4 linked regions of the Astyanax mexicanus genome follow. The main gene of each other region encodes a partner of the protein of the gene in region 4 in a complex. Links are inferred from orthologs where the notes say so. Each region holds a gene or a part of one and is shown on either strand. Other genes may lie near its edges.

Region 1 (7,586 bases), about 6.0 Mb from region 4:
CCTCCCTCACCTCTCCCAACATTATGAACTGTCTGTCTATGAAACAGAATTCCAATCACACTGAGGTCTGTTTGTAGTTCTTGGTGTCCAGAACCTTCTTCCCGCACATGGCACAGATCCCTGTAACAAATAAAAACATTGTTTACACAAACAATCACAGCCTTATGATTTATTGCAGTGGTTTGCAAAATGACACTTCTGTGAAAAAATCTGCAGATAATTCTACCTAAAATTTTCATAGAAAGGACAGACGAAAAAAAAAAACATACGCCATTTCAGATGGGAATAAAACCTCACAGAAAACATGTAACCTCATGTAAACTACGATTGGGTGTTGAAATTCGATGCCAAAAAGGCACCGACCAAAATGTCTTGGTACTACCAAGAATCAAATGGTTTAAAAAAAAAAAAAAGGTCTGTTCTTGATCATTTTGAATGAAACACTCATAAACGCACCAAATGCAGAGCGGAGAGAAATGCAGATCTTTCAAATTGTCCACACACCGCCACTGTGCTGAAATGTCTTAGGCACTTGCGCTGTCTCTCCCTCTCGCTTGCTCTCCTTTGCGCTGTCTACCTTGCTCTGTCTGTCTGTCTCTCGCTCACTTGTGCAGTCTCTCTCCCTCTCTTTCTCTACACTTGAGAAACTAGTATTAAGGTTTAAGGCAGAAATGTATAGTAAAATCAATAAAAAGAATGTATGTATAATATTGACTGTAATTAGGCCTGTCACAGTAATTACATTATCGACTTATCGTTCAATAAATATACATGGCCTTAGTCAATTTAATAATCGTTATATCGTCCATATTGTTTGCACTTACGAAATGCACATATATTGTGACACCGTGACGCGGGGTACTGCGGAAGCACAGAGAGTCACAGACACAGGGAGTGGATGAACTCAAAACGTACCTTCATTAGGAAAAATGCCCTCCATCAACACCCAAACCAACATGAAGAAACATATAGTAACGGCCCAGTGCGGCTGTAGTCACTTGACTTTAGTGTTTCTTAGGTTCATGTTGCCTCAGCCTTCCTCTCACCATCAGCATATCTCTCAGGCAGGATCTTAATGCCGGTCCAATGTGGGCCAGCTGGGACAAACTGAGGCTGCACATCATAGTGTGGGGTGGGACCTACGCTTCCCCTGCCTGAACACTTCGCAATGTGTATAGTCTTTAAAAGGGTGTAATTCCTTTGTTATGATATTATGTTATTATATAAGTGCCATTTAATGGTCTTAAAATGCCAACAATATCGTTTATCGCAATAGTTTCTGGGCCAACATATCATTCACAAAACATTGTTATCGTGACAGGCCTAACTGTAATCAACAAAAATAATTAAATATCCCTACTCCACTTAGCATGTCTGAAACATTCAGTGACATGTTGCTCCTAAACTTACCTTTCTTGTAAGCACATCCCTGGCAGTAATGAGATCCAGCCTGGTGGACAGAGCTTTTACATATTCTGCAGGTGGCGAAACCAGACTTTCCATAGGGATCAAACCTAACAGAGGAAATACAAGCAAATGCTTACTTTAATGTAATCAATGGTTTAAATTAGTAATCAAATAAATAAACTAATAAATTAGACATAATAAAAATAAAAGTAATAGTCATACCTGGCTTTTTTTGAGGTCAGCATTTTATTTTCATTAAGTTTCCGTCCACCACTCTCTGTAAACAAACATATTAGTTATATTGTGGCTGTTTTTACTTGTCAAAGATCTACTAATGTATTAACTATAAGCAGAGAATAAAAAAAATAACATTTTGAATAATGTTTTATTAAGCAGGCTGTACCTGTTGTATTTCGTGCACCATCCTTCCAGGTATCTGGAGTGATAACCTTACCAAGCTTCTTCTCACCTGGGAAGAAAACGAATAATAAGAAAATTAAAACCTCTCTACAAAAGTTGCACTGATTTTAGACTTCATAGAACACAGTGGATCAACAGCAGCAGATGACATGTCCCTCCAAACCATCACTGATCATCAGTAAATTTTACATTTCATTTGTAAATCAAGAGAGCAGAATCTGGAGAAAGAGTGGAGAGTCACACAGTCTCAAAGCTGATTAAGGTCTAGTGTGAAGTTTCCACCAATCAGTGATGGTTTGGAGAGACATGTCATCTGCTGGTGTTGATCCACTGTGTTTTATTATCAAGTCTAAATTCTTACAGCACTTCATGCTTCCCTCTGCTGACAACTTTGATGGAGATGCAGATTTCATTTTCTGCACTAGTTATGTAATATTCTAATCTTCTGAGACACTGATTTTGAGGTTTTTATTGGTTGTAAGCCATAATCATGAACAATAAAAGAAATAAACGCTTAAAATAGATCACTGTGTGTGATACATCTATATAATATATATATATATATATATATATATATATATATATATATATATATATATATATATATATATATATATATAATAATTAATTTATTATATAAACTGGCTATGCTAAGTTAAACTACGCTAGATTAGATAACAGAAAGAAGGGCACCCAAAACAGACTAAATAATTTATATTGTGTTGTGTTTAGTGTTTACAGTTAAACTAAAGCTAATATAAGTTTCACTAAACAGTTTATCTGTATATATAGTGAAATATGATGTGTAGGTAAGTAATTTAAGAAGATGAACCGTTTATTTGACTAGGTAAACTAAAATTATTACAGTAAACGCAGGTTATAACAGTGAAGGGTTATCTGGGCCGGAATGCTAACACTAACTCTAGCTAACAGTCTAAACAACACCAGGAAACAACGGGACACTTTCAGCTGTAACCCGAAATTCACCGATTTAATCACCTTAAATTACTGAATTATAATTAATATACGGTCTTATTACATATATAAAACTACTCACATTTATCACAGACCATCCTGCTGCCGTTAAACACAATCCTCAATCTAAAACCCGTAAACAGCAGCTGTAACTGCTCACACTGCGCAGCTCCAGAATACAGCAACCGTTTACTTTACAATAAAAGTCCTTAACTTTACAATAAAAGTCCCAGCTTAACGTTCACAGAAGAACGATAACAAATTAAATTTATATTTATTTTATTTTTTTGTTATTATTTTTTACAGATCAAATTATATTTATACTATTCTTAAAAATTACTAATTTGATTTCGTTAATTTTAATTAAAATCCTTAATATTTTCTCATTTTATTTAATATTATATATTTTTTCTTCTTTTAATTATTTACATGCTTATTTATTTATAAAACGGCAAATTACATCTACACTATTCATTGAAATATGTGACAAATTTAAAAATGTAATTGTTTTTTTTTTAAACTGTGTATATTTGTGAATTTTCGATATATTATATAGCACTATTGTTGTGTGCACGTTGGTTTCATAAAATAAATACGCTGCCAAATCAGATGTTTAAAGTGATAGTATTATAATTAATATTCAATACAATTCAAGAAAGAACATACATGATTTTTAGTAATCTTATTTGTCAGTGTAATGTTAAAAACAGACAGTAATATTTTTTGTTATTATTTTATTAGAAACATGCTTTTTAGGCAATTTAATTATCATTATAATGCTTAAAATGTACATTAATCGTAATTGTCGTTATAATGTTAGACGTATACAGTAAATATGAATTATTATCATTATAATATTAAAAATAAATATTTATTGAATTAGTAGAACATTATAATAGTAAACTATTACAGAATATAATGAGAATATTTGAGACTTTTATTTTGACAGAGTGGGGCTTTAACCTTGTTGTGTCCCGCTGATAGACTGCTCGGTGTTGCCGGATATTCGCTGTAGTTAATTCAGTCGGTCATGTCGTTCCTCTCTATAGAAACATCCTGAACCATTAAACTAAAGCTCATAGTTTAATATTTCATGTTCTACGTTGATGTTAGTTTTAGGTTAGTTTTATCAAATGCAGTAATAAAAACACAGCGAGCCTCAGAAGAGCAGAAGTCTGGAGAAAACCTGTATCAGTAAGTACTGACTGCTGTTCCTACATCTGGGTTATCTAATCTAATTCCACTGTATGCATAATATTTTAATTTAATATTATATATTTTACAGCTTATTTATTAATTACTGTGTCTTTTTGTACGAACCATTGTGTATTCTTCTGATTCATATTGGTTCGTACAGTATAGTGTTACAATTATTAGGTTTCTATGTTCATTTCTGCATCAATGTTCGATACTAAGAGCAAGTTTGAATTTTATTTTATTTATTGATGATTTTAATATTTTAAATGTATGTATTATGTATGTATGTATGTATAAATTATACATCACGTTTACTGTATACATACCGCACACCGTTTTAAAATGTTTTTGTACAACTTATTTATTGCGTTCTTTAATTGCACCTTTTTATTTAGCAATATTAAAGCCATTAAATTACCCATGTACCTGTGTCACAATATGTTTAATATTAATTTAATTTAATTTGTATACATACAGTAGAAGTGGACATTTTGGACATACCTTAAATTGAGTAGTTTTTCTTTATTTAAAAATGTCTGCATTTTAGATTAATATTAAAGTCACTTAACCTATGAAGAAAAACATATGTAAATATGTAGTAAACAAAAAGAGTCAAATAAACCAGAATATGTTTCCTATTTTAGATTTTTCAAAGTAGCTCCTCTTGCTTAGATGACAGCTTTGAATATCTTGGCTGGATTTTCTTAGTCAGTTTTATGAGGTAGAGTCACCTGGAATTCAGGCTTTCAGTTAACAGCTGTACTGAACTCATCAAGAGTTAATTACTTTAATTATTTGCCTCTTACTGTGTTTGAGAGCATCAGTTGTGCCATATTTGTGGATTAATATTTCTAACTATTTTAAGACTATAAAAAACACTGTATTGGGATAGCAATATTTTTGACTTTTTTTAAATTTGTTTTGCTATTTACTGAATTTACTTGTAATTATTTGTTTATATACATGCACTAAAATGCTGCACAATTGTGGTAGTATTAATGTTTGACACGAAATCAAGGTTTTGGTAAGTTACTGTTTACGAAACAGATAAAATGTTTTTTTTTCTTTTTAAATCTTTTGTTATATTCGCTAAGAAAATTTAAATGTTGATATTAGTTTAGGGCAATATTGCCCACCCCTACTGCGGATTTCCAAATTCTGTAACTTGTATAATAAAACACATTTTGTGCATTTTAATCAATAACACTTTTGAATTTATGCTTTTTTTCTTTTTACATAGCTCAATAAGAATATCCTGAATAATGTGGGACGTGGAGATCAGGGGGATGGCTTCGGCCCACGCCATCATCGCCGCCTCCATCTTTATGGCCACAGTGATGCCGGCCGTTCTGGTGGAGAAGTTCTCCGTGTACGGGACGCACCTAATCTGGCTGTATTCTGTTGCTGGCTCTGTTGCTGTGGTCAACATCGCAGTGTTTTGGCTTCTGGGCATCAGTCCACCAACAAAGAAGAACACACTGAGTTATAAGGTAGTAAATTAAATAATAAATAAATAATCCACACAACTCATTGGATGATATGTTGATCTGATACTTTATTTATAACATTTCTTTTCTTCTTTTTTTATTACTTCAGTTGTCTAAGCTGATCAGATCCTGTGTGTATTTGCTGCTGTCGTGTCTCTTCTTCCACACGGTGATTGTTCTGTACGGAGCGCCGCTGCTGGAGTGAGTATTATGTGTAAATAAGGCTTTTGTTGTGTAGATCGCAGTATGTAAATTAGGCTGTTAAACCAAAACATAGACCTCAGGCTGTTAGAGTTTACATAAGATGTTCCGTATCATATTTTCCCATGCATTTAGTTGAGCTGGGCAATATGGCATTATTTTATTGTGTATAGTTACATTTGTTATTGGGATTAATTATATTAAACATAATATAATATATACATCTGTGGAAAAAATAAGAGACCACTTAAAAATTATAAGTTTCTTTGATTTTACCAAATTGAAAACCCATGGAATATAAATCAAGAGGAAGATGGGTGATCACAAGCCATCAAACCAAACTGAACTGCTTGAATTTTTGCACCAGGAGTAAAGGCATACATTTATCCAAAAGCAGTGTGTAAGACTGGTGGAGGAGAACATGATGCCAAGATGCATGATGAAAACTGTGATTAAAAACCAGGGTTATTCCACCAAATATTGATTTCTGAACTTTATGAATATGAACTTTTTTTTTTTTTCGCATTATTTGAGGTCTGAAAGCTCTGCTTTTTTTTTGGCATTTCAGCCATTTCTCATTTAATGCAAATACATCCTCTGAATGACCATATTTTTATTTGAAATTTGGGAGAAATGTTGTCTGTAGTTTATAGAATAAAACAACAATGTTCATTTTACTCAAACATAAACCTATAAATAGCAAAATCAGAGAAACTGATTCAGAAACTAAAGTGGTCTCTTAATTTTTTCCAGAGCTGTATATATTTTATTTAAAAGCTGATACTCTGCCTGATACTCTGTCCTGTGATCACATTTCTGGAAAGCTGCTTTGTGATGACATCAGTTGTAAAAAGCCCTATACAAATAATACATTTGATTTAATTTGATTTGATCATTTTTTTATATACATATACAATAAAATTCTGCTAGAGTTCTAAACATTATCAAAGCTTGCTGTATCTCCTGATCCTTGTCTCTACGAACTATCTATGGATATTTTGAAGTAAACAACAAAGCACTTTTGTAAGTCACTCTAGATCAGGGCGTCTGCTAAATACCCTAAATGTAAATGTAAATTTATTCTCTAAGCATATCAATTTGTTTTTTTATTAATGCTTGAATAACATTAACTAAGACTAACTAAACTAAATGTAGATGTAATTAGTGCTGTTCAATAAGAAGTACAGCACATTTTGAAGAAAAGTGTGTATTTAAACAGCAGTCCTTAAGATTTTTTTAATTAATTGAAAGCAGATTCAGTAGTATTCCTGAGTCGTAAGGAGGCGAAATATTGTAATATATTTATTGTAATTAAAGAGTAAAGACAGAGTCCTTGCTAACATCCCTAGATTCATCTGCTTTAAACTGATTTTTTTTGTCCTGTATCCTTAAGTTTATTGTTAATTAAATATTGTGATATAATAGTTACATATATTTAACACACTGCTGTGTTGTCCTTGTTATGTAATTGTAAAGGTCAGCGCTGGAGACGTTTTCACTGGCTGTGCTGCTCTCTACTTTCACCACACTGAGGTGTCTGTGTGTCCTCGGGCCGAACGTGCAGGCGTGGATACGAGTGTTCAGTAGGGATGGGTGAGTGCTGGACTTTAGGATCTGTCTGATCAGTACTGTTGTATATATAGGAGAGTGAGTAGAGTGTGTATACACACCATAAGGGGCTCCAACTGGTCCAGCAGTCTGAAAGTGCTGATGGTGCTCTTTTTCCACATCACTTCTAGGGTGATGTTGATCAGCATAAGGCTGCGTCTGTGAGCTGATGTATCAGAACAGAGTCGCTGCGCTTTCCTCTGAGAGCGCTGGGATGCTCCTCGGCAATGCTGCATCAGCAGCAGTTCTAAAAGAGGTGAAGTCTGACTTCACATGTGTTGGAGGAGGCAT
Region 2 (7,946 bases), on a different chromosome or scaffold from region 4:
GGCATTCAGGATTATGACCATGACAGCAGACTTTCATATAGTGATTTTGAGAAGTCTGTAAGAGAGGAAAATCTGCTATTAGAAGCTTTCGGAACTTGTCTTCCTGATGCAAAGGTAAAATTGTTAAATTTTACGTTTTGCAATGTTCTGCATGAGTGTCATTATTGTTTTAATAATTTAATATTCTTACTATACCATCCATCTTACTGTAATAATACTTAAAATGACAGTTGTCTGTCTTCAGATTTTTTTTATTTTGACATTTATAGAAAAATACAATTTAATAAATAAATGTGTATTTTTGTTTGTTTTCAGAGGACCCTGGAATTTGAGCAACATGCTTTCCAGTAACAAGTGAATCACTCATATAAAGAAAAATGAACAGTGCTATTTTACAATAAACCACTATTACAGTACATCAATAAAAAATGCACACTGAAGACAAGAGAAAATTATATTCTTCGCCGTGCTTTTACAGCTGTTGTCTTCTTTTCAGATGGAACTGATGCAACCTAAAAAGAAAAAGAGAGACAATTTCAGACATACGTTTTAACTATTCTATAACATTCATAACAGTAAAAAAAAATACTTATAATGCTGACCTTTGACATTGTTTGCCTGATGATGTTTGCCGTTTTGTTTAATGATGCATCTTCCATGTCCATCTTTGGTAGTTCTGGTAGTTTGGGTCCATACAAGGGGGCATTTCTGTCTGCCACACCTAACAAGTCTGTACTGTCCTCCATTTTCCTTTTCCTGTTTTCTAATTGTGCAGTCCTTGGTATAAACCTTGGTGCAGTGCTTGGCGGATGTTTGGGTTTTTTGATAATACTTCTCTCTTCGTTGCCAAAGGTAGAACCAGAAGGCAGGTCTGACCACTGTGTGGTCTGCTTGCAATCATCTGGGGCACGGTTACTAGGGATGAAGTTGTGTAAAGATCCCATTCTATCTTCTGTAGGTACACTGCCTTCATGTACAGTCTTCACAGACTTAAATGAGTCCTTAGATGAAAAATAGTGCTGATGAACTCTTTCATGAGGTGGTAGCGGCAATAATGGAAAGCTAGAAGATGTGCTGGAACTACAATTGTCCTCTTGGGAACTTCGAGGACATGTCCTATCTTCATACACTGATGATGGAGCTGGTGTCTCTGAACTGGCAGGAGTTGTTTTCTCTGTAGCCTGTTCTTGCTCACATTCCCTTTCTGTAATAAAGGTGCAGTACAACCAGACAAACTGGTTAATTACATGGATTGCAGAAACAAAAATGTGTGTGATGCAAGCGTACAAAATACCTAATCTTTGGGTTGTTCTGTAAACATATCTTCTCCTGTCCTGTAACTTCCTTCTTGTGTCTTCCACAGTCTCATGTTCAGGGGCATAGCAAACATGAAGCAGACCCCCATAGAAGCTTCTTTCATCTGTTTTTCTTTTGGCAGCCCTGAAACAGACAAAATTACTCAGCTATCAACAGATCTTGGGATATCTTAAAATGTGCTTGAAAACATGCATGATACATCTTAAGAGGCATGTCTTAACCAAGGAGGACATGTGTATACAATGTCCATTTGATAACATCTTAAGAGGCATGTCTAAACCAAGGAGAGTGTGTCAATAGAACGGTCATACTACTTCGAAATACTATCCTATCTATGATGTATAATGGGGATGTGTTTTTTAAATTTTATTTTAATATGGTTTGGCATATGGTTTAATGGCAACATTCAATGAAACTATTTAGCCTAAGTAAAATACATGCACATTACAGGGTTTAAGAAAAATGCTAAATTATTCTTATTTTAAATAAAACACAAGTGACAATTTTAATCTAACCATGCTATCTACTGTATGATTTACATCTTTCCATGTTTGAGGTTTTATTCTCACCTTGCACTTGTAAGCTTTTGGAACTTGATAAGATAAACTTCAGTGAACTGTTCTGCAGGATACTCATCCAGTACTCTGTATTCTTCCACCACTCCATAGAGAGCAAAGAGCTGCACCAGCTCAGTCATTACCCCAACAGCAGGCACTCCTTGCACCAGCAGAAACCGAGACTCTAGGTTAATCGTATAAACCTACAGATTGACAAAGCAGAAGATACAGGATACAGTCAGGATTAAGCCGAGCCGTAGACTGTTTTGCTTTATTGTGGAACATTTCCATTCACAAATATATGCGGCCCAAGATTAGACTTCTTTGTCTGGGAAACTGTCCCTATATATACACCTCTGGAAAAAAATTGAGACCACTTCAGTTTCTGAATCAGTTTCTCCGATTTTGCTATTTATAGTTATATGTTTGAGTAAAATGAACATTAGTGTTTTATTCTATAAACTATAATTCCAAATAATACTGTCATGTAAAGCATTTATTTGCAGAAAATGAGAAATGGCTGAAATAACAAAAAAGAAGCAGAGCTTTCAGACCTCAAATAATGCAAAGAAAACAAGTTCATATTCATAAAGTTTTAAGAGTTCAGAAATCAATATTTGTTTCTCTGATTACTTCTGATTAATTCTACGTGTCCCTTAATTGTTTTGATCTATATTAATTTAGAATGTAGAAAAGACAAATAAATAAACGAATAAAGAAAAAACATTGAATGAGAAGGTTTGTTTAAACGTTTTACTGGTACTGTAGCTATATAATTCAGTATACAGATAATATATACTTCATTATATATTATGTATTGTCTATCTTTCTGTTAACTAACTATAGATTTGGGGAGATTCAGTGATGACAGGGAGGCTCGTGTAGCCAAACAGCTAACTTAAGCTAGGCTAGCAGTCTAAACACTGGGGCTGTAGGCCCGTTATTCTCCTCTCAGTACGGAGTTTCAGTAAAAACAGCTCACTGACCTTCACAGCCTTCAGTCTCCTCCCTTCTCTGTACTTCGGGCGGGTGAGACAGGCGCTCTGCTGCTCGTGGTGTTTGTAGACCTGCGGTGTGTCCCACACAGAGCCCGGCTTCAGAGCCGCCATGATGATTACCCAGCGTCCCCGACAACAGCGCAGAACTAAACACAGACCCAGACCCGAATAATCAATCACAGATAGTGATCCACGTTCAGCGAGAAACACATACTGAAATAAACTGTAATCATGTAATAAAAAATGTTAAATAAAAATTTTAATAAATACAAAAATAGACAATAGTATATATTTTTGTACTAAAATATAGTACAATATATATAATATCGTATCATGAGAAATCGAGGATGTATCATCATTACTTAAAGAACACTGACCCAATCATACATTTTATTACAGAGAGTGATTTAATTAATAATCACTGTACAAAACATTGTGAAAGAGCATTTAATAGCAGAATATGCTACTGCTGATACATTTAAATAAATACTAAATACTGTCTGAATACTGTGCATTGTGAAAATGTCTTTAAATATTGTGTAAAATATTTATCAGTGTGTGAATATGTACAGCATGGGTGGAAACCCAAATTTATACTTTTCATATTGATATCAGAATTGTAGCGTGTCAACCAAAATTAAGAAATATATTTTGTGATGTATGTTTCCCACACTTTTGCCTTAAATATATTCTGAATGTTTCTGTATTCTGAATGTGCAGAGAGACATTTAAAACTATCATTACCTAGATAATCATTGTTTTAATGACAAAAACCTATTAAATCATGTAATATACATGCTAATGCATTTGTGAAATGGTAAGAAAAAAAATCTATTTTAACCTTTAATATTTTTAATAATTTAAATGTCCTACATGTATGAATATTTTATTAACAATATAAACATATACCCTTTCAATTTTATTTGTATTATTTTTATGATAAAAATATAAATGTATAAATAAAAAATATTTAATGTATAAAAAAATATAAAAATGTAAACATATATTTTTAATATTTATTATTTGTGTGGGCAGATTGATCTTTTAAACTATATCACCTTCATGTCACATTCATTTTCTAATGACAGGACCTGTTAAATTCTGTAAGATACATGCTAACACATTTTTAAAAATGATATTTAATTTAAAAATCTTTAAATGTAACATTTTTAGTTCATTTAAATATACATATACCTTCCCTAATTTATTTTGATTATTTGTGACCATTTAAAAACAATATTTCAAATATAAATAAATATTAAAATGTGAAAATATGTTTAAATGTTTATTATTTGTTAGGGCATACTGAGCTTCATATACATTGTAGTGATGATCGCACGCTGGTGGATGGATTGGTCAGGTCTGTCTGACAGTATTGACATGTTCAGCATGGCGCCTGATCCTCTGTAGTGCAGCAGGTCCTGAACACTAGTGCTGATTTATACAGTCTTTCAGCGCTAAAAGAGGCTTTAAAGCTCCTCTTTATGCAATGTTGGGGAACTGCGGAATCCAGCCAGTAACTCTGGCCTTCAACAACTCCAAAAACTGCTTTCTCCACCTGCCATCCAACTTAGTGTCTCAGCTCTCCCTCAGAGAGGTGTGTGTGAGAGTGGGTGTGTGATAGTATGGCTACGCTGCTCCTGCTTTATTAACTTGGGGTGCAGTCTAGTCTAGTCTAACTGTCCTGTTTTTATTGTCATATGCAGTCACAGGCCCTGGAGCTGTCCTGGGGATCATCTGCTCCAGTGTTCCTCAGCTGGATAAGAAGCCACGCAGCAGGTCAGGAGGACAGGGTTGAGCTGAACAGACAGTTAGGGGAGAAACTGGGAGTTCAGGAAGGAGAACAGGTAAACTCTGGAGTTGGATAAATGTCTGTATTACAGTTAACTGTAATTTAAGTTGATGTGATTTGCTTTTTATTTTGTTTTTTTATTTTTGTTTTTGATGTTTTTCAGGGCTTCCTGCGTCCATGTAGTCAGGTACAGTCTGTGCAGCAGGTGTTTGTAGAGCCTCTGTCCTCAGATGACTGGGAGATCCTGGTGAGTCTCATTCACCAAATAAAAAAACACTGCCCACCCACACTAAAAACTGATAGGCTGACTCTTAGAATAGGAGAGTAGGTTAATCAGAACCATCTCTGTTTTGTATTCACTCTGGCAGCTTCTATATGTAAAGGTGTACGATCTTCATTGTCCCATTTTGAAAATTTAATTAAACAGTAAGATTCAGTTAATCAAATTAATTGGATTAACTTCCCAGGTTGGGACCAAGTTTTAGTTTAAGGGTGCTTTTATTGCTTACTAAACTGCTGTGTGAAACCAAAACTAACCGGACCCAATGTACAAAATGTAACAAAGGCACAAACCTCAGTGCAGACTCTGGTCCAAACTTTTAGGTGTGAAAACACCCCAAGATTTAATTACAACTTAGTTACATGTTTAAGTTGAATACAACTTTTTAGACTGTTTTTTCTTTGCTGTTATGTATCTGTATATTCTATAAATTCCACTGTTGCACTGATGCACTATGCTTGCACAGGGTAGCATACAGTACAACAGGTCAGAACATATTTAAAAATAAGTCACTGCTGTAACCATATTGGTTTGCTCACTTCATGTTTTTTTGTTTTGACATGTTCCCTTTTTCTTACACACCTAAACCAAAAGGAACAACACGTTTTGGATAATGTTATAAAGTAAAAAAGTTAGATATTAAAGTTTACTTTTAGTGGAGTTAAAATTAAAATTATTCAGCCATGTTTATATACACACATAACAAAAAAATACTTATATACAGCAACTAATTACATTTACTTCATTACTGCCCTTTACTGATGACACCTAATGCCTTTGTTTTCCAGGAGCTTCACAGCACAGCTCTGGAACAGCACCTTTTAGACCAGATTCGAGTCGTTTTCTGTTCTGGGGTGTTTCCTGTGTGGGTTGACCAACACACTGTCATCTACATCAGGATAGGTCTGTTTCAAACACTTTTTATTAAATACTTCTTTAAAATCCTCAGTTCTGTCTGTAAATTGCTGTACCTCTTGTTCTTGTAGTCTCCCTGTCTCCATCTGTTCCGTATGGTCGATTAGAGCAGTTCACTGAGCTGGTTGTTTCCCCCAAACTCCGGCATGGAGGCAGGCAGCTTGCCCCAGTTTCTCCAGATACAAAGAACCCGGTCTTGCAGAGGCAGCAGAACATAGACCGTGGATCCTCCTCCACACCTTCCTCCACAGGAACTGATTCTTTCTCTGAGTCCATTCACAATCAGCCGGAGCCCAGTCAGAGACACTGGGCTGGAGTACCTGACCTGCAGAGCCTGGTGAGATATGTGTTCACAGGGAAATATGAGCCCGCCAAGGAGATTCCAGAAGTGCCCACTGTCCCCGCAGTCTTCCCAGATTGTGTCCTGAGAGTGTGTGGAACCCCACCCGGAGCAATCAGACATCTTGACCCAAATCATGGAGATGTTCACATGCTGCCATGGGACCAAATACAGTATGACTATTGGAGTACACAACAGCCAGTGTTAACGTATGGTAGAGTTTCTAAAATTCATTCTCCCAAAGAAGTGAGAGAGCAAGCCAAGCAAGCGATGGAGAAGAAAAAGAGTGGAAATAGCTCTCAACCTAAAAAGGAAGCACAGGAACCAGTGGAGGAGTCTGTGGTGGTCAAGATCCTTTGCCATAACACAGAAAAGCTGGAAGCAGACCAAAGATCCTCAGGAATGAGAGAGATTTACTGTGGGAAGGTGTGGGTAAGTGTTATACACTGATACACTTTACTTTTCTAGAATTAGTCTAAAACATTTGTTATAAAAACCTAATCTTAAGTATCTAATGAAAAACATTTATCCCCGTGTGCCTTGTCAAAAATTCTGGATGAATGGGCCAATAGAAATTTCCCAAAATTAGCTGAAATAAACTTTTTTTTTTGTTTTTACATTTACGTCCATTGAAAGAAATTTTTTATTTTTCCCATTTAAGTTGTTGTTTTTATGATATATGTTTTTTTATTGGACAGCAATTGGACTTGTGTACTAGGAAAGTAACAGTGCACATGTTTTTAGATTTCATATGACATAGGGCTGGGCAATATGTTGTGATTTTATTTATTCTAAATTATTTTTGGAAATTATACATAATCATAATCTTTATAATATCACAACTGCTACATAAGTTACCTTTTTTGTTAAATTTCAAAAAAGATTGTGGGATCCTTTGTGTGGAAATCATTTGGTACTCTGTAGATACATTGCAATTAAAGAAGCAGCATAACAACTTTATTTGACCACAAATCAGTGCAATGATGAATAAATAAAAATGTAAAAAATAATACATTTATTTTTTTATTCTATTCTCTTCACAGATCCCAAACATTTTACGATCAAGGCTGAGCATAGGCCTGCATTCTGCCGTGAGAGTTCGTCCTCTAACGTGCACCCCTGCAGTTGCACAGGCTGTCTTACTTCAGCCACTACGAACACTAGTAAGTGTATCTTTCTCTCTTAACTTGAAATATCAGACAAACGCAGTTCATTTATAATAAACTGTTAATAGTCGGACTAATAGCTGAATCAGAGTAGAACACGTGCGTGTAAACGTGTAAAGGTCATTCTGAATGCAATTTCTATTTGATTGAACGAGGTGGATAATCCTTTAAATAATCCATTAAATAGAACAAAAAATAGCCTTGTAAACACATGTACCCGATTAGATCTCCAGTCCGAAAGTAAATATTGCGCATGTACATGTGCTGCACGAAGGAAGTTTATAAAGCTGAACATCACTCCTCACTTTTATCCACTGCTTCCTAGTCATGGGCGGTGGGACTGGCATCCAGCTCACTTGCCTCAGAATGTTCAAAGACATTGAGGACGTAAGTTCTTCGTCTCTACCCTTCTTTAAAAAGAAACTGTGAATTAGGTTGTTATGGAGTCCGCCATAATTTTAACGCTGTTAGAAAAAACAAGCTTACCAGCTGCAAATTCTGGAAACATAACTAGTTATCCAGTTACTGTTGCTCCCCTCACGCTGGCTGGCATCACGTGCGGCCCGTTGTCCTTGTCATGG
Region 3 (7,598 bases), on a different chromosome or scaffold from region 4:
TTGCTTTAGAGCAGGGAAATGTGTGGTCCTCCACGAACGAGAACCACTGGGCCAAGATTTCCTAAATGCAGTCCATCATACTGCTCTTACTCAGCCAGATTTTTTTTTACATAAAAGCAGACACAAAAACTAGCCAAGGTCTAGTTTAGCTGATTCCTGCATTACACACTGACCCAAATACTTCTGTTAACCATTAATGCTATGTTTTTTTTTTATAAAATAATGAATGCTAATTCAGAAACTGTTACAGTGAAGTTAATTATTATTTTTTATACCGCATTTTGTGAACTATAAGGCGCACTTAAAATCCTTTAATTTTCCCAGAAATCGTCAGTGCTCCTTTTAATCCAGTGCACCTTGTGTGTAGATTTTAAGGTTGTAAGGAGCAGTAAAGCCACTCCGCCGTATTGCAGTATTATTCAGAAGTTTTAGTTTAGTTTTAGTTTCAGTCCAGCATCTGGACTGAAGTAGCAGTAGCATTAGCTGCTTCCCGCTATTTCCCCGTTTAAAGGCCTGTACCCTGCTACTAACCCCAGCTAGCACTGCTGTTATAGCCGCTAATGCTAATGCTCCAGCCTTAGTCCTGGAGAAATTTTGGGAAGCTAAGCTAACTGTTGAAAGCGATTTACTCAGCCAAATAAACAGTTTTTAGATTGAAATTTGACTTTTTATATTTAAATAGTGTTGTTTACTTAGTTTAGCTTTACTTACCTTAGTAAGCTACCCTATAGGTTCCTTATATTGTATCTTAAAATATGCCTTATAATACAGTGTGCCTTATAATCTGCTGTACCTTATAGTGTGAAAAATACTGTAATTTATTTAAAAAATTTAGCCCATTTTTCTCATCAATTTAGATAGCCAATTATCCAATCCCTGTACATGTAACTCCTCCCGTCACTAGCAATGCCCCCAACACTAAAAAGCATAGACTTGCAAATGCCTCCTCCAACACATCCAAAGCATCACTGGCTATCCAGCAAGCTCTGAGGAAAGTTCAACGATCCAGCTCTGATCCAACAGCTACCTACCAACACCAGATTAAGGGTAATGTAAGGGAGAGCCATATACCAACCCAGAGAGAGCAAGGTCAATTGTGCTTTCTTGGACAGTGGCTGCTGATGGCAAGCAGTAAGATCTGGTATTCGACCCGAATTCAAATCCTTGTGGCAGCACCTTATTCTTCTATGACAATAGCTTGACGAGATGTGACAAACCGAGCCCCCTGTGAGCAGGTTTAAATGATTTAGACAATTAGTCCAGTTTTTATTAACTACTTTCCGCCACTCCCGACTCACCGACTCAGGTCTGAGATCCACTTTGATTTGATCGCCGTCCTCAAAGCCCTCAGGGACCTGATTCTGCATGAGCAGAGGGATTGTGAGGTTTGGGTCAATCTGAGTGCCATTTTTCCACCTCTCCTGTTGCTTCTGAGACTCTGTGGGACGAAAAAAAATTACAGGAATGTGTGGGTCAGTGCTGATATGATGCTGTTTGATTTTGTTAACATAGAGTAAGAGTCAAACATTTGGTCATACGTCATTTTTCCTCAATGTGTTTTCTTTCTTTTTACGATTTTTACACTGCAGATGACATGGCTCTCCAAACCATCTTTGACCATCAGTAAATTTTACATTTAATTTGGAAATCAAGAGACCAAAGTCTGGAGGAAGAGCGGAGAGACACACAGTCCAATCTGCTGGAGGTCTAGCGGGACGTTTCCACAATCAGTTATGGATGTCATCTGCTGGTGTGGGTCTACTGTTATATTAAGTCCAAAGTCAGTGCAGTGTTTTCCTAGAAAGTCTTTATGCTTCCCTCTGCTGACATTTTACAGCAGGACTTGGTATACTGCCCACACTGCCAAAAGTACCAATTGGTCTTATATAATATTCTAATTTTCTGAGATATTGATTTTTGGGTCTTCATTGGCTGTAAGCCATAATCATCAACAACAAATGAAATAAATGCTTAAACATATATATATTAGAAGAGTTTACTAAAATAAAAGTACCTTTTTAATGATATTCTATTTTGTTTTAGATGCACTAGTATGGTTACAACTCCAATGCATAAAATAGCAAAGAAAACAAACTAACAAGAGCATAAACACACCTTCAATAAGCTCTTTGACAGCCTGAGACTCCACAGAGTCCTGGTTCTCAGATGCAGAGATGTCTTTGTTGGGTCCTTTGTCATTCTTTTTTCCTCCTCCTTCTTCTCGGTACCAGCGGTTCTTCTGGATAAGTGGAATAATCAACTCTGATGGTTTCTCCACTGGCGTCGTTCTACACAAGATTTTATATCAAACATTTAGTAACATCTACAAACTTCACACAAAGCACTGTAGGTTAAATCACACAAAAAAAGTCACACAAAATAATGTAGGTTAAAATGTAGGTTACTGGAGGTTTCCAACCCTGGTTTAGGAAGACCTTCTGCCCAGCAGGTTAGCTAGTGGTTTTAAGGACTAACAATCTTTAAATGATGAACACCTTGGTAACTGACTTTAGTACCTAGCTGGATTAGATACTTTGGAAACAAGGTAAACACCGAAACGTGCATGTATGGGGGTCCTCCATTACCTGGTCTAGGAAACTCTGGTCTAAACGACAGCAATCTACAAAAAAGCTGAACGTTTTTTTTGTAAGACGCACCAGTTAAGTCGGCTTTACTATGTTTGGTAAACCCGTTTAGCTGAGTATTAGCATCAGAATCAGCAGAGCTGGAGTTATTAGCACCTGGCTAACCGGCACTATATGCTCCAGTCAGTTAGCATTAACCAGTTAGCTTATAGCATTAACCTACCCTTTCAGCTCCTTTCCATCCACCTCCACCACATAATCTCTCTCCACGGGCTTCTCAGACTTAATCTTAGTGAGAGTTTTACTAAACCCAAAAGAAATAGGGCCCGCTTTCCTTTCTCCGCTCTCTATATTTACAGGGACCGCATTAGCCTCCGCTTCTCGTTGCCTCTCCGGCGAAGCCATGTTTGATGTGTGGGTGTGCGCGCAAGTGATGCTGGGAAATGTAGTTTTAGTTTAGTATGTCGTTCTGATGCGTGGGAAAAAAAACAATTGTGGGAATTAAAAAGACTGAAAACCATGGAAGGCCATTCCAGCCACCTAAAATAAAAAAATCCAGGACATTTTCTCTTTTATTTCAAAGTTGAACTAAAGTTTAAAAGAAAAAGAAACAAATCCCAAAATACAATGTATGTCCCGTGCCTAACCCCGATACATATAGAATACATAATAATACAGACGAATTATACATTTAAATATAGCAAAAATATAGATGTGTGTGACAGTCGCTGTTGACATTTTAAAATGCCTACATTTGTTAAACATTAAATGTTGGATATCTTTTCCAAATGGCAGTATTTAAATTTGCTTTAGGAACATGTAGTCAAATAATACTAAAGCCCAATATTATAAAGAGAAGAAAAACACCAAAGAAATCCAAGTATGTTCATTTTGGACATTTTTGCTTTTTATGATAAATAGACCAACTGAGTTTTTGTTTGACATTCAACTGAAGAAATGCTAAATTAATATGATAAATGGCAATAACACAGGAAACAAACAGTTACAACATTGACTGAGCTTAAAGGTGCCACAGAACAGAAAACTGTATTTTGCCATAGTTAAATATTAAAGGTTTGTTACACACCATGATTCTTAGAAATGAACATCAAACAAAATATCTGCACAATTCCCAAACCCTTAACATTTCCTCACACTCAAAATTGACATACAATAGTGTTTAGTCCAGGATTACAACACAGTTAATAATTTCTCATTTTTATTATTTTGATGGTTAGTTTTCTGACACAGCCATCTTCCACACTGTGGCGGGGAAGGGACATTAAGAGAGGTGTAAAAGAGTAAAAACACAAAATTGTAAGTTTGCTAGGCTAAAACCTAAACTTAGCCCGACAGCCCCATTCCAAACAATGTAATTTAGTTGCTTCATACACATGATTGGGGGCCCGTGTGCACATTTGTGTTCACTCTTGGGCCACTAGTTCTAAATACCGGGAGATTTTATCTGACTTGCAGGCATCAGGGAGCCGTTATTGATATGTGGTAGACTCCCGCAACTTCCGGGAGACTTGAGCTTAAATCTTGAGTAATGCTTAAAACACTTTAAAACACTAAAACATGCATTCTAAGGCACGTTTTATAAACTATGAGATGCAAGATCTAAATCGTTATTTATTACGATTAATTAGTGTATTGTTGTGTTGTATTAATGCTTGTCAATAACAGTAAACAGTAAATGTGAGTGTGATCTGTTTCTGAGTAAGGCAGAATGATGTATATATGCATAAATATTCTCTGATTTATGTATAGGTAGATTTGTGTAGAAACAAATACAGGTGCTGAGGATTCATAAATTTAAGATCATACGTGACAGAAAACAGAGTGAATCAGAGAGTGATTCAGAGCCCATACTGTGTGACTCGGGAACACCTGAAACCTGCTGATCCTGATTCAGGTGTTTGGTTTGGCCAAATTGTCCACTTTTGCCTTAAGCCAAGAGAGCATTGCTGATATGCTTTACGCTCACCGCGTTTTTTTCACTTTCATACATTTGCCTTGTATTTACAGCTTTGTTTCTGTGCAGCTCAGCAATTTCAATGAAACTGCTAAAGTACCTGACGCGTTGTTACACTATAGGGGCGGATCTTCTACCTTATTACTTCTTTTCCCTCCCCTCCACCCCTCTGCTCTCTGCCTCTACCGGTATCGCTTCTTGATCCTGACTACTGTTTTGGGTCCTGAGGGATATTCCACTATGCGACTGTGAGCTCAGCCTTTTCTTTTTTTGTATTGAACACCGGGAGGGTCGCAGCATGCCGCGGCTACACCGGAGCTGTGAGACCCTTCGGACGTCCCCGACACGGTTTCCCGAGTTTCACAGCCTCAACACCTCGCCGCTTCAGGCTACAGCTAACCGAGCTGCGTCCTCGGGCGCCGGGAGGATCATGTAAGCGTCCCGTGTCCTCAGAGGAGACGGAGCGGTGAGAGTGGAGAGTTAAATAAGGCCAGTTTCAGCCCCGGGGGACAGACTGACAGCATGCTGAGGAGGGAGCAAGACCTGAAGGTAAGACTGAAGGCTGAGCCGGACGGGGGTCAGTGACAGTGTAACAATGTGTGTGACAGTGTGTGTGTGTGTCTGACAGTGTGAAAGAGTGCGAAAGTCGGTCGATGAAGATGTGGTTGAGGACAGGAGGGTACCGGCGGGCTGCTGCTGTGTTTAAAGCTCAGTATAGGATTTATCTTCGAGTGTTTCTGATAGCGTGTATCGCTGCCCACCACTGCCACCCTGCCCCTCTCTCTCTCTCTCTCTCTCTCTCTCTCTCTCTCTCTCTCTCTTTCTGTTTGTCGGAGAGTCTGGAGCGTTTAAACGCTTTTTTTCTGCTGTCAGATCACTCTGACGGTCTCGTGCTCAGCTGGCCAGCGTCCCTCGCGCATCTCGCTCTCCGCACGCGCTCGCTCGCGCGCACTCACTCTCTCACTGACACGCAGCGCGAGCGAGCGACCGACCGCTCACTTCTATGGCGGTTAAAAGTTATCCACGGTCGTTTCCAGCAGACCGCCGCTGACCAGCCTTTTGTAGCGAAGACTTCTCGTGATTTTTAGGCGTTTTCTTCGACACAAACCCGATTTTCCCCCTTTTTGACCGCTTAGGGGTCAAGTCTAGTTCGGGGTCGATGTATATAGACGCGTTTAAACGGGCTCTTTTTCAACGGCTGAGCTGCCTGAGGAGAATGTGTGTGTGCCAGAGGCCATGCAGGTGAGTTTTAATTTAAATACTGGTACTACGTGAGGGTGTGTGTGTGTGTGTGTCTGTGTGTGAGAGGGAGAGAGAGAGAGAAAGTGAATGTGTGTGTGTGAGAGTGGTAGATGGTAGTGGTAGCTAGGTTAGTTAAGATATATGATCTAAACGGCAAAATTACAACTTTCTACACTTTTCTCTCAGAATAAAGTGACTCAAATACACCGAATTATGCTAACAAGTTATTATAGTTATTAGCTCATGTTTTATCGAATTATAGTTATTTGTGCTATTACTGGACACAGGTATTCAAATGAAAATAAATTTTACATTAATTACAACCTTCACAGCTAAGTTATAAGCTGTATTAAAAACAACTAGATTTAGTTTGTCTAGTTTAGGCACTACCAGTTCATTGATCCAACACCAATGTTGTAATTGTAATAATTATCTCTGCGTACCGAAGAGTGGAGTAAAATGAATACTACTAGGCAGATATAATCTACCTCTACCTCTGATATCATGGAAAACAGAGCAGCATGTCCTTGTGTATTAAACAAGCTTTATGTTCAGATCGTCCTGACATCCTGTGATGTGAGTATTGAGCATGTACACATGTTGATGCTAAAGCGATACACAGCTCTGGAAGAAAATAAGAGACCACGTAAAAATTCTGAGTTTCTCTCATTTTACCAAATTGAAGACCTCCGGAATATAATCAAGAGAAAGATGGATGGATCACAAGCCATCAAACCAAGCTAAACTGGACATTCTGTTGTGTTGTATCATTCCTCTCTAGTCAGTACAAACTTACATTTTTGCACCAGGTGTGGCATAAAGTTATCCAAAAGCAGTGTGTAAGACTGGTGGAGGAGAACATGCCAAGATATATAAAAACTTGTGATTAAAAAGAAAAGGTTATTCCACCAAATATTGATTTCTGGACTATAAAAACTTTGTAAACATTAACTTGTTATCTTTGCATTATTTAAGGTCTGAAAGCTCTGCATCTTTTTTATCATTTCAGCCATTTCTTATTTTCTGCAAATACATGCTTTACTTGACAATCATTTTATTTGGGAAAAATGTTGTCCACAGTTTATAGAATAAAACAACAATGTTCATTTTAGTCAACCATATACCTATATTAGTTTCAGAGAAACTAATTCAGAAACTGAAGTGGTCTCTTGATTTTATCTAGAGCTGTATATTTAATGTACTACCAGGTCACTGATCCAACACCAATATTGTAATTGTAATAATGCCCTCTGTGTATCGAAGCGGTTATTCATCAGTTTACTAGCTATATCTCACATACAATACTTGTGAATGCAGTGGTCTGGTAATGGTGATGTAGTGTGATGTGAAGTATAGGGGTGTGTGCTTTAGAACACAGCCATTGGTTTTAGTTTTAAGCTATGATTGGGATTAAATTAATATGAGGCATTTGATTACTTCTCTATTGCACAGGTACTCCTCTGAGTTTTTTCCCTTATCCTCTGAGAAAATTACAGGCCCAGTTTCAATCTCTGCTGTGATCAGAAGACTTTCAAAGACTTTCACTGAAAGCTACCCTGATGTACTCTTTTAAAAACAAATCTGTACTTGCTTTTCTTAGTGTGCATTTAACTGACTAGAGAAAATGAAGTACTCATTTTACTGAATGCTGATTAAACTGTATGAAATGAATCAAGAGGGCAGGCCATATTTCTTCCCATTTATCTCAATATTGAAAGAGAGAAGGAGAGAAAGTACACACCCTGAGCGAATTGGCTTGAAGATAGAAGATTATAATGCAGTATTGAACTTTCATA
Region 4 (7,368 bases):
TTAAACAAATGAGAGTTGCACATCAGACGACTCTGATTAACCTTCTTAACATCTTTACCAATTTAGTTATGCTAAGATTTTGATAAATTAGTGGAAATTGTTTCTGCGGATCCCAGCTAGTATTTAAATATCAAAATATAGAATTTTGTATAATACGAATGTGTTTGTTTGTGCTATTTTTGGCCACTTTGTGCATTCATTATTTTTTTTTAAACATTGGATAGTGTTTTAAAAAGTTAATGTTAAATAAGAGGTTTAAAAGGTTGTATTGTTAGAAAAATGAATCACTAAATATCATCTCAACAGGTTTTATCAAAATTATTATTATTTTTTTTTAAAAGAGCTATTCAGATTATTTACATCAATAAATTATTATTAAACCCAATCGCAGAATTTATTTGCTTTTCAATGGAAAATCAATGAGAATCTGTCCCAAAAAGTTTTGCCTAAATCTATTTTGAAAGTAGGTGTTTAGTCAATCCTAAAAATGTGTTATTCACTACCTTTCAGCAGAGGGCAGTGTAGACATTTCTTTAAATTTCCTTTCTCAACATGTTCATTCCATTGCCATAACAGCTGACATGTTTCACATAACAAGCAGAAACAAAGACACATTTGTTCTATTTATCACACAGCTTTTTTAAATTTCTCACATTTGTTTCAAAGAAACTATCACGCTGGCTTATAACAGTACAGTCATGTGCCTTTTCACTGGACAACACAAGACTGCACAGACAGGAAGTGACATGCCTTACTGCAAAAGCACAGAGATTAAAATCTGCGCCTCACTATCAACAGAACAAGCATAATGACTTCCACAGAGAACACTGGGTGTGTTGTGTGCTGGTTAACAGCAATTATTCCCTGCATGTCAACTGATATTAATAGGTGTTTAATACGTTTATTGCTAAGTGTTGCAGTACAACGCTACACAATAAAACACATTTCACATAAAGAGTTGATTTCTTTATTTTAAAAACATACAAACATTTCCATTTTCTCACTAATGTGAACATTTACATTCATCTTTCACTGAAAATGTTCAGCTTTTGCTCAAAACACTTTCATGTATATTTTAGATTTTTACTTGTAGATATTCTTACAGAAATTAAATGTAAGCAGTATTCTGATTTTGTACACTGTAATCCCATTATTGGGCAGATAATAGGCAGAGGAAATGCACTTCAAAAGAAGCATTCATCATGGAACACACTATAACACTTATCTTTATTGTGAGTTAATGTTTTACACTGAGAGAGAAAATGCATCTTATTTAAGCTTATATATTAAACAAATTAGGAACTCACATAACCAACAGTAATACAGTTTGTTTTTGTTCGCCTGTCTTGGGAATCTTCAGATCTTCAATCCTGTGATTACACTTCAGTAGTGAGGAGGTGTCCAGAGTCAAATTGAGCTTCCAGTCCACAGAAAATTGAAGGTCCTTCTGTTGACTTCTTTTTTTATTCCTAATTCACCATTTTTCTTTATAGCTGTCATAAATTTTTCAGTTCATCACAAAACTTAAACTCCTAACCCCCGTCAGTGTCACTCTGATTACCTTTGCCTGGAGGTGTGTGATAAGCTCACCTGTCCCCAGCACTTTTCTTTGACTCCAGCTCTTCCATTTGTTTCTGTCTTCTTTCTAACACTTCTAAAAGTTTGGCATCAGTGCGAGCTCGCTCCTGCTCCCGAATTTCTGCCAGGTCTTCAAAGAACAAATGCCTTCAGAAAAAAGGTGAGGATTAGTCCAAAGCAGTTTCTTAATTCTGGTCCTGGATGCAACATGCCCTTTACATTTCCCAGTTGTAATATACCAACTGCTTGTTAATTTACTGATGGACAGTGGTGTCCAAAGTACACAAATCACATACTCTAGTTAAAGTACAGGTACCCAAAGTAAAAGTAAAAGTCCTAATTTTCTCTGCTTGAGTAAAAGTACACAAGTATTTGCCTTTAAATGTTCTTAAATGTTAAAAGGAACCGTATGATGATCTATTATGGCTCTATTGTACTGTTACTGTTTGTCTAACAATTGGTATCTGCAGGTATTGGCAAATACAATGTAAGACTTTTTAATACCACTAAGAAACAACATCTAAACCACTTTTGTACCAAATGATTAAAGCACACTACACCTTCAATTTCAATCAAACATAAACTAACAGGTTTACAAAATGAAAATAAGAGATATCCAACTGATTTTTTGTTAAATTTACACTATGCCTACAGTACTCTCAAATTAGAAACATTTTAAGACCAATTAGCAAAATAAATTGAAAAACCTTTCAATTTCAATTTCAGTTTTAAGGATCTACAAATACCCTGTAACAAGGCTCTAATGTAAAAGACCCTACTGTCACTTTTGGTTCACCCATCGTTTATCAGAAAGTCTGTCACTGATGTCTATTAAATTATTACAATTATTTTATGAAAAGGATGATACATAAAAGTACTTTAGTACAGCAATTAATTAAATTTATTTTGTTACCATCACTAGTTGCAGAAGGGAATCAAGCAATAAATTTGCAGGGCAAGGCCAAGTTTAAGAAACACTGGTCCAAAGGTTGCAGAAACAACAATTTGGTAGTTATGGGTCACACATGGTTCAATAACATAATATAACAATAACTGAAGAGGCATGGCTCTTCTAAAAGCAAAAAAAAATCCAGCTCAATGTTCTTTTCTGTGTGACCAACTGGTTTTGAGTTCGTTTTTAAATGTTATAATATAAATACACTTTACCATACCTTTAAATAAGACATATAGGTATTGGAATTGTAAGAGCTACTTTACAGAATTGCATACTAATTGTTTATGTTAGAAGTAACCGCAATGAAGAACTATGTAGAATGTGTAGTTCTCTATAAATTTAAAATAATGTTTAAAAACAGGATGGTGAACACATATATTTAACTGATGAATGAACTGTTTATAGAGCTTTGGAAAAAATATATGAGAATAACCACTTCAAAATTATGAGTTTCTTTGATTTTACCAAACGGAACACCTCTGGAATATAATCAAGGGGAAGATGGATGATCCCAAGCCATCAAACCAAGCTCTAGGAGTGGAATAAAGTTATCCAAAGCAGTGTGTAAGACTGGTGGAGGAGAACATGCCAAGATGAAAACTGAGATTAAAAACCAGGGTTATTCCACCAAATATTGATTTATGAACTCTTTAATCTTTATGAATATAAACTTTGCATTATTTGAGGTCTGAAAGCTCTGCATCTTTTTTGATATTTCATCAATTTCTCATTTTCTGTAAATAAATGCTCTAAATTACAATATTTTTATTTGGAATTTGGGAGAAATGTCCGTAGTTTATAGAATAAAACAACAATGTTCATTTAATTCAAAATGTACTCAAACATAGTCTAAAGCCTATTCCTATACAGTCTGTATTGATTTGTTTAAATGCAAGTTATTTTTCTTTATTTTCTATTTTAACCCTTATGTATGTGTGTATATGTTTTGCACAACCAAAATAAACTAAACTAAGCTAAACTAACAACTAAACTACATGCATTTAGTATTTTGGTAGATTTATAATGATAATAATAACAACAACAACTTCAGAAAAGGAATATAATAATAATAAATACAGAAGGACTACAAATTGATTAACTACATGATTTACAGATGTTTATAATACATTTCTGAGAACAGTAATAGACAGTGTGAGGTATAATAATAATACAGATAATACAGGTGTGGCTGCATGACTTTAACATTTAAGCTATTTATTTAACTTACCTGTTATAGAACGCTGTTGCAAGTCCTGTGAGTAAAGCGCCGAACAGCAGCGGCTTGGCCAGACGCTTTTTTGCTGATAAAGTGTACTGCTTCATGCTGGAATATAAAGCTGGAATATCCATAAAGAGAAAAGAGAGAGAAAACAGTGAATAAAGCTGTTAAATAATAAACTGTATTTTCTGCATAGACTCAGAGCTCTGACCTCCAGACATGCACCAAAACACGTAACGTTAGCTACACGCCCCCACTTCCTCCGGCCAGCAGTTTATAAAGCGTGATTCTCAAATATCTACTTGGATTTTTCATTTACTGCCACTTTAATATACATTTAAAAATTATAATAAAAGTACAATAACCCAAATTAATCGTTGTAGCCTCGAGTGAAACGTAAAAGTAGGTTTCAAAATATTTACGACAAAGTCAATGTTTGAGAGGAACTACAAAACATTGCTGAATTATCCAGGGGGAAGATCCAGAGAGGTGAACCCCGGCTCAGTCTCAAATGGCGCAGTGATCCCTATCTAGTGCACCTATCTAGAAACGTTTAAATGAGAAAGCCATTCAATACACTCTCAGATAGTGCACTAGAGAACCAGTCGCGTCCTATTTGGGACTGAAGCAAAGAAACATGGCGTGTTACTTGTGACTGCTAGCTTGGTTGACTAGCCAGCTAATATTTAGCAATCTGTATTAAATCACAATGATATAGTTATCTAGAGACATCATATTTAACTACATCCACCCAGCAAGTCCTCCGCTAAGTAGCTAAGCTAGTTAACTAGAGTTTTTAAGCGTGTTTTCTTTTTCTAAAGTAGCCTAGTAGTAGTGAATTTGCTTGCAATCTAATGTTTATTAGGTAAGTGTCATGTTTTTTTTTTTTTTGCCTTTTACCCTACTAAGGTCCCTTAATGTTAAATAATTAGCAATATCTTCATTTCAAAGTAATTAAATGAAGCAATGTTTTGTTAAATGGGGTTATATAATAATAATAATAATTATTATTATTATTATTTATGTACATATTTATATTATATATTGTTGTAGAAAAGAAAATGTGAGGTGGGCTACCCCCACCTCTCGTCCAGGGTACAACTCCCTGCGTGTTCGTTTGATAGAGAGAGTCAGACAGTGGAGTGAAGTTGAAAGCAAACCAAGTATTTATTACAAACTGAATATTCAGGAGAACTAACACATGAAAGACCGTCTAACAGCCACCCAGCATAAGTTCTGACCCCCCTCCTGATCTGACTCCACGTTTATACCCCAAAATGACGTAAGCCTGTTGATGAGGCGTTACTAACGATTAGCTCATGTTAATATGCATAATTTCACGTGTTAGTACTCAAGTTTCACGTGTCTGACCGGACCACTAATGTTTGACCTTGACTGTATTCTTCCATCCTGGCACTATCTGTGTGTGTGCGTCACCCCCCGCTTTGAAGTAGAGGTTTTTTAGGGAGGCACTCACTCATCCAAAGGCTGCTTTGATCTAATAGCCTTTTTTGTAGCAATTTAGCCCCGTACCAGCCGAATTAATGACCGTTAGTTAGGGTCCTGCAGTAAACAAAATACTTCAAGCCTGAGCTACATCTCATATGTTATATGTTAATGTGGGTTAATCTGTCATATAATAGAGTCTGTGTTAGTCACATGCCTGATCAAACAATGTTTTACTATATATGTAAAGAATATACTGTGATTATTGGATAATCTTTTATATAAATGCGTGTAAAATACACTGTGAGTAAAAATGATCAAATATAATGTGAGTATTGGTTAATGCATATAAAATACAAGGTTTCACACGATGATTATGTAATTTTAGATACTAAGATAAGTAATCATGATTGTGAGATATGTGTCAATACATTCAAGGTAAAACAGGGTTTCTTCGTAAGATTTCCCACAATTCCCCCTTTCGACGTATCAAACAGATACGTCGACAAACCGTAATTCCTCCAATCATGTATTTACATATGTTCAACCCTTGATCAACATGTGAGTGAACATTTTACTAACGGTGGGAGCGAAAACCTGTTCTGGCAGCCTTCCAACCAATTTTTGACAGGAAAAATTCTCCCACGGTCCCTCTGCCACCAGGCGACCAACAATTCGAACTCTATCAAAGGAGGAAGTGACATCATTGCAATAAAGTCATCCCCAAGACTGGTTGGTTTCCAGCATTTCCTCCAGCTCTTCCTCACACTCCAGTATAGGTCGGTTTATCTGTAGCTCTAACTTTGATCCATCCCACAGGGTCATTACCACTTACATCCACCCGGACCCCTATGAAAAATGATTTTTCCCCATTAGGATCAGATTGCCACTCTAATGCAATGGTTATCAGATTATTTATCGGACCATTATCCCTTTGTATGTTAATACTATTCCAGTTCTCCCGCTCACGAGTCGCCCAGCGTTCGCTTGGATCCCAATTAACATGCATTGACCTAATTACGGTTTCCCACTTGTTACAAGGTCTGGCCTTGTAAGCTGTTTGGTCGGTGTTATGAGTGATTCTCATGAAGCTGCAGGGAACATGTCCATGACAATTTTTTTTTAAATCAGTACTTAATTCACAAAAACTCCGATATTGTGTGTAAAGCAAATAGGTAGTACTGTATGGATCAATTGTTCATATAAAATTATTTTTATATAAATTAAATAAAAAATATATGGAAATTCACATTACCGTTATGTGTCCGTACCCCTTCTTTCTAATTTTAAGTTAAACCATATTAAAAGTACTAAGCATATCGAATCAATAAAATAGATTAAAGTCATTTAAAATATCACCATTTATACATAATATAAATATTTTTGGTGTTGAACAAAAAATGTACTTGATTTTAAACAAAATAACGGTGTCCGAACAATTTTTCTCATTACCGTTTCATGATTTTACCCCCTTAAAAAAATTACACTGTGCCTTGAAATTGATCAGCTATCCCATGATGCATCACGTCAGAGACAAGCTTCAAAATGGAGATAAGATCAGTTGGTCACTATTCTCTCCCTTTGAGAAATCTGTGTTAATATTACTAAAACTGTCCTCAATTACACTGTGTATTATCATTACCGTTATGGTTTAATACTCATTACTTTTAAAAATATAAAAATAAATTATTTCATGAATATTATCACAATATAAGGCTTTTACAGCTGGCAAAGTTATAGGTTGTTAGCATATTAGCATTTTAAGTTATGTGTGAAATTAGCCAAGAGCATCTCATTACCATTTAATTGTGTTCTCATTACCGTTATGGATCTAAAATGTTAATTTCTCAAAAGTTTCACATCTTATCATAACTTTTCTTCATTTTACTATAGTATACCCCTCACCTGTTGTCCCCATGAGTTTTTGATCAAACATATTCTAAAATAATTTTCATTAATTAAAAAATTAAAAGATATTTTACAAATGTTGTATCGGTAATGAGAGTTGCTTAACTATAAATAAATAAATAAAAAGATCAAAGTAAGTGTCAAGGACTGTGCTGTTAAGTTGATGGGATTTTGTTGTGGAACTATTAATCAAAAATTAATCATCAAAAAATGTTTTGAACCGGTTGATCTAGCTTCGTCATTTACTGTAACGGTAATGAGA

Evidence for each region.
Region 1: armc7 (region 4) and cript share a complex: the UniProt entries of both Homo sapiens proteins name them as parts of the minor spliceosome. The link is inferred for Astyanax mexicanus from reciprocal best matches to the Homo sapiens genes ARMC7 and CRIPT.
Region 2: armc7 (region 4) and rbm48 share a complex: the UniProt entries of both Homo sapiens proteins name them as parts of the minor spliceosome. The link is inferred for Astyanax mexicanus from reciprocal best matches to the Homo sapiens genes ARMC7 and RBM48.
Region 3: armc7 (region 4) and gpkow share a complex: the UniProt entries of both Homo sapiens proteins name them as parts of the minor spliceosome. The link is inferred for Astyanax mexicanus from reciprocal best matches to the Homo sapiens genes ARMC7 and GPKOW.

What each region holds. Positions count from the first base shown.
Region 1 is NC_064422.1:39,625,844-39,633,429, forward strand, and holds the start of cript (cysteine-rich PDZ-binding protein), read right to left. Parts: upstream 3,017-7,586; 5' UTR 2,901-3,016; coding exon 2,885-2,900; intron 1,877-2,884; coding exon 1,811-1,876; intron 1,685-1,810; coding exon 1,630-1,684; intron 1,515-1,629; coding exon 1,411-1,514; intron 121-1,410; coding exon 56-120; 3' UTR 1-55. Other genes in the region: pigf (phosphatidylinositol-glycan biosynthesis class F protein), read left to right, coding at 5,262-5,489, 5,596-5,687, 7,164-7,280. UniProt on the Homo sapiens protein: As a component of the minor spliceosome, involved in the splicing of U12-type introns in pre-mRNAs. Involved in the cytoskeletal anchoring of DLG4 in excitatory synapses.
Region 2 is NC_064410.1:48,089,893-48,097,838, reverse strand, and holds rbm48 (RNA-binding protein 48), read right to left. Parts: upstream 3,018-7,946; 5' UTR 2,984-3,017; coding exon 2,861-2,983; intron 2,078-2,860; coding exon 1,887-2,077; intron 1,441-1,886; coding exon 1,295-1,440; intron 1,205-1,294; coding exon 603-1,204; intron 513-602; coding exon 453-512; 3' UTR 352-452; coding exon of another isoform or gene 316-351; 3' UTR 280-315; downstream 1-279. Other genes in the region: efcab1 (calaxin), read left to right, coding at 10-114, 316-351; pex1 (peroxisome biogenesis factor 1), read left to right, coding at 4,362-4,469, 4,579-4,719, 4,828-4,911, 5,733-5,847, 5,931-6,631, 7,243-7,362. UniProt on the Homo sapiens protein: As a component of the minor spliceosome, involved in the splicing of U12-type introns in pre-mRNAs.
Region 3 is NC_064419.1:20,705,449-20,713,046, reverse strand, and holds the start of gpkow (G-patch domain and KOW motifs-containing protein), read right to left. Parts: upstream 3,019-7,598; 5' UTR 2,991-3,018; coding exon 2,809-2,990; intron 2,289-2,808; coding exon 2,116-2,288; intron 1,439-2,115; coding exon 1,299-1,438; intron 1-1,298. Other genes in the region: membrane-associated guanylate kinase, WW and PDZ domain-containing protein 3, read left to right, coding at 5,720-5,802. UniProt on the Homo sapiens protein: RNA-binding protein involved in pre-mRNA splicing. As a component of the minor spliceosome, involved in the splicing of U12-type introns in pre-mRNAs.
Region 4 is NC_064422.1:33,673,006-33,680,373, reverse strand, and holds the start of armc7 (armadillo repeat-containing protein 7), read left to right. Parts: upstream 1-4,368; 5' UTR 4,369-4,617; intron 4,618-7,368. UniProt on the Homo sapiens protein: As a component of the minor spliceosome, involved in the splicing of U12-type introns in pre-mRNAs.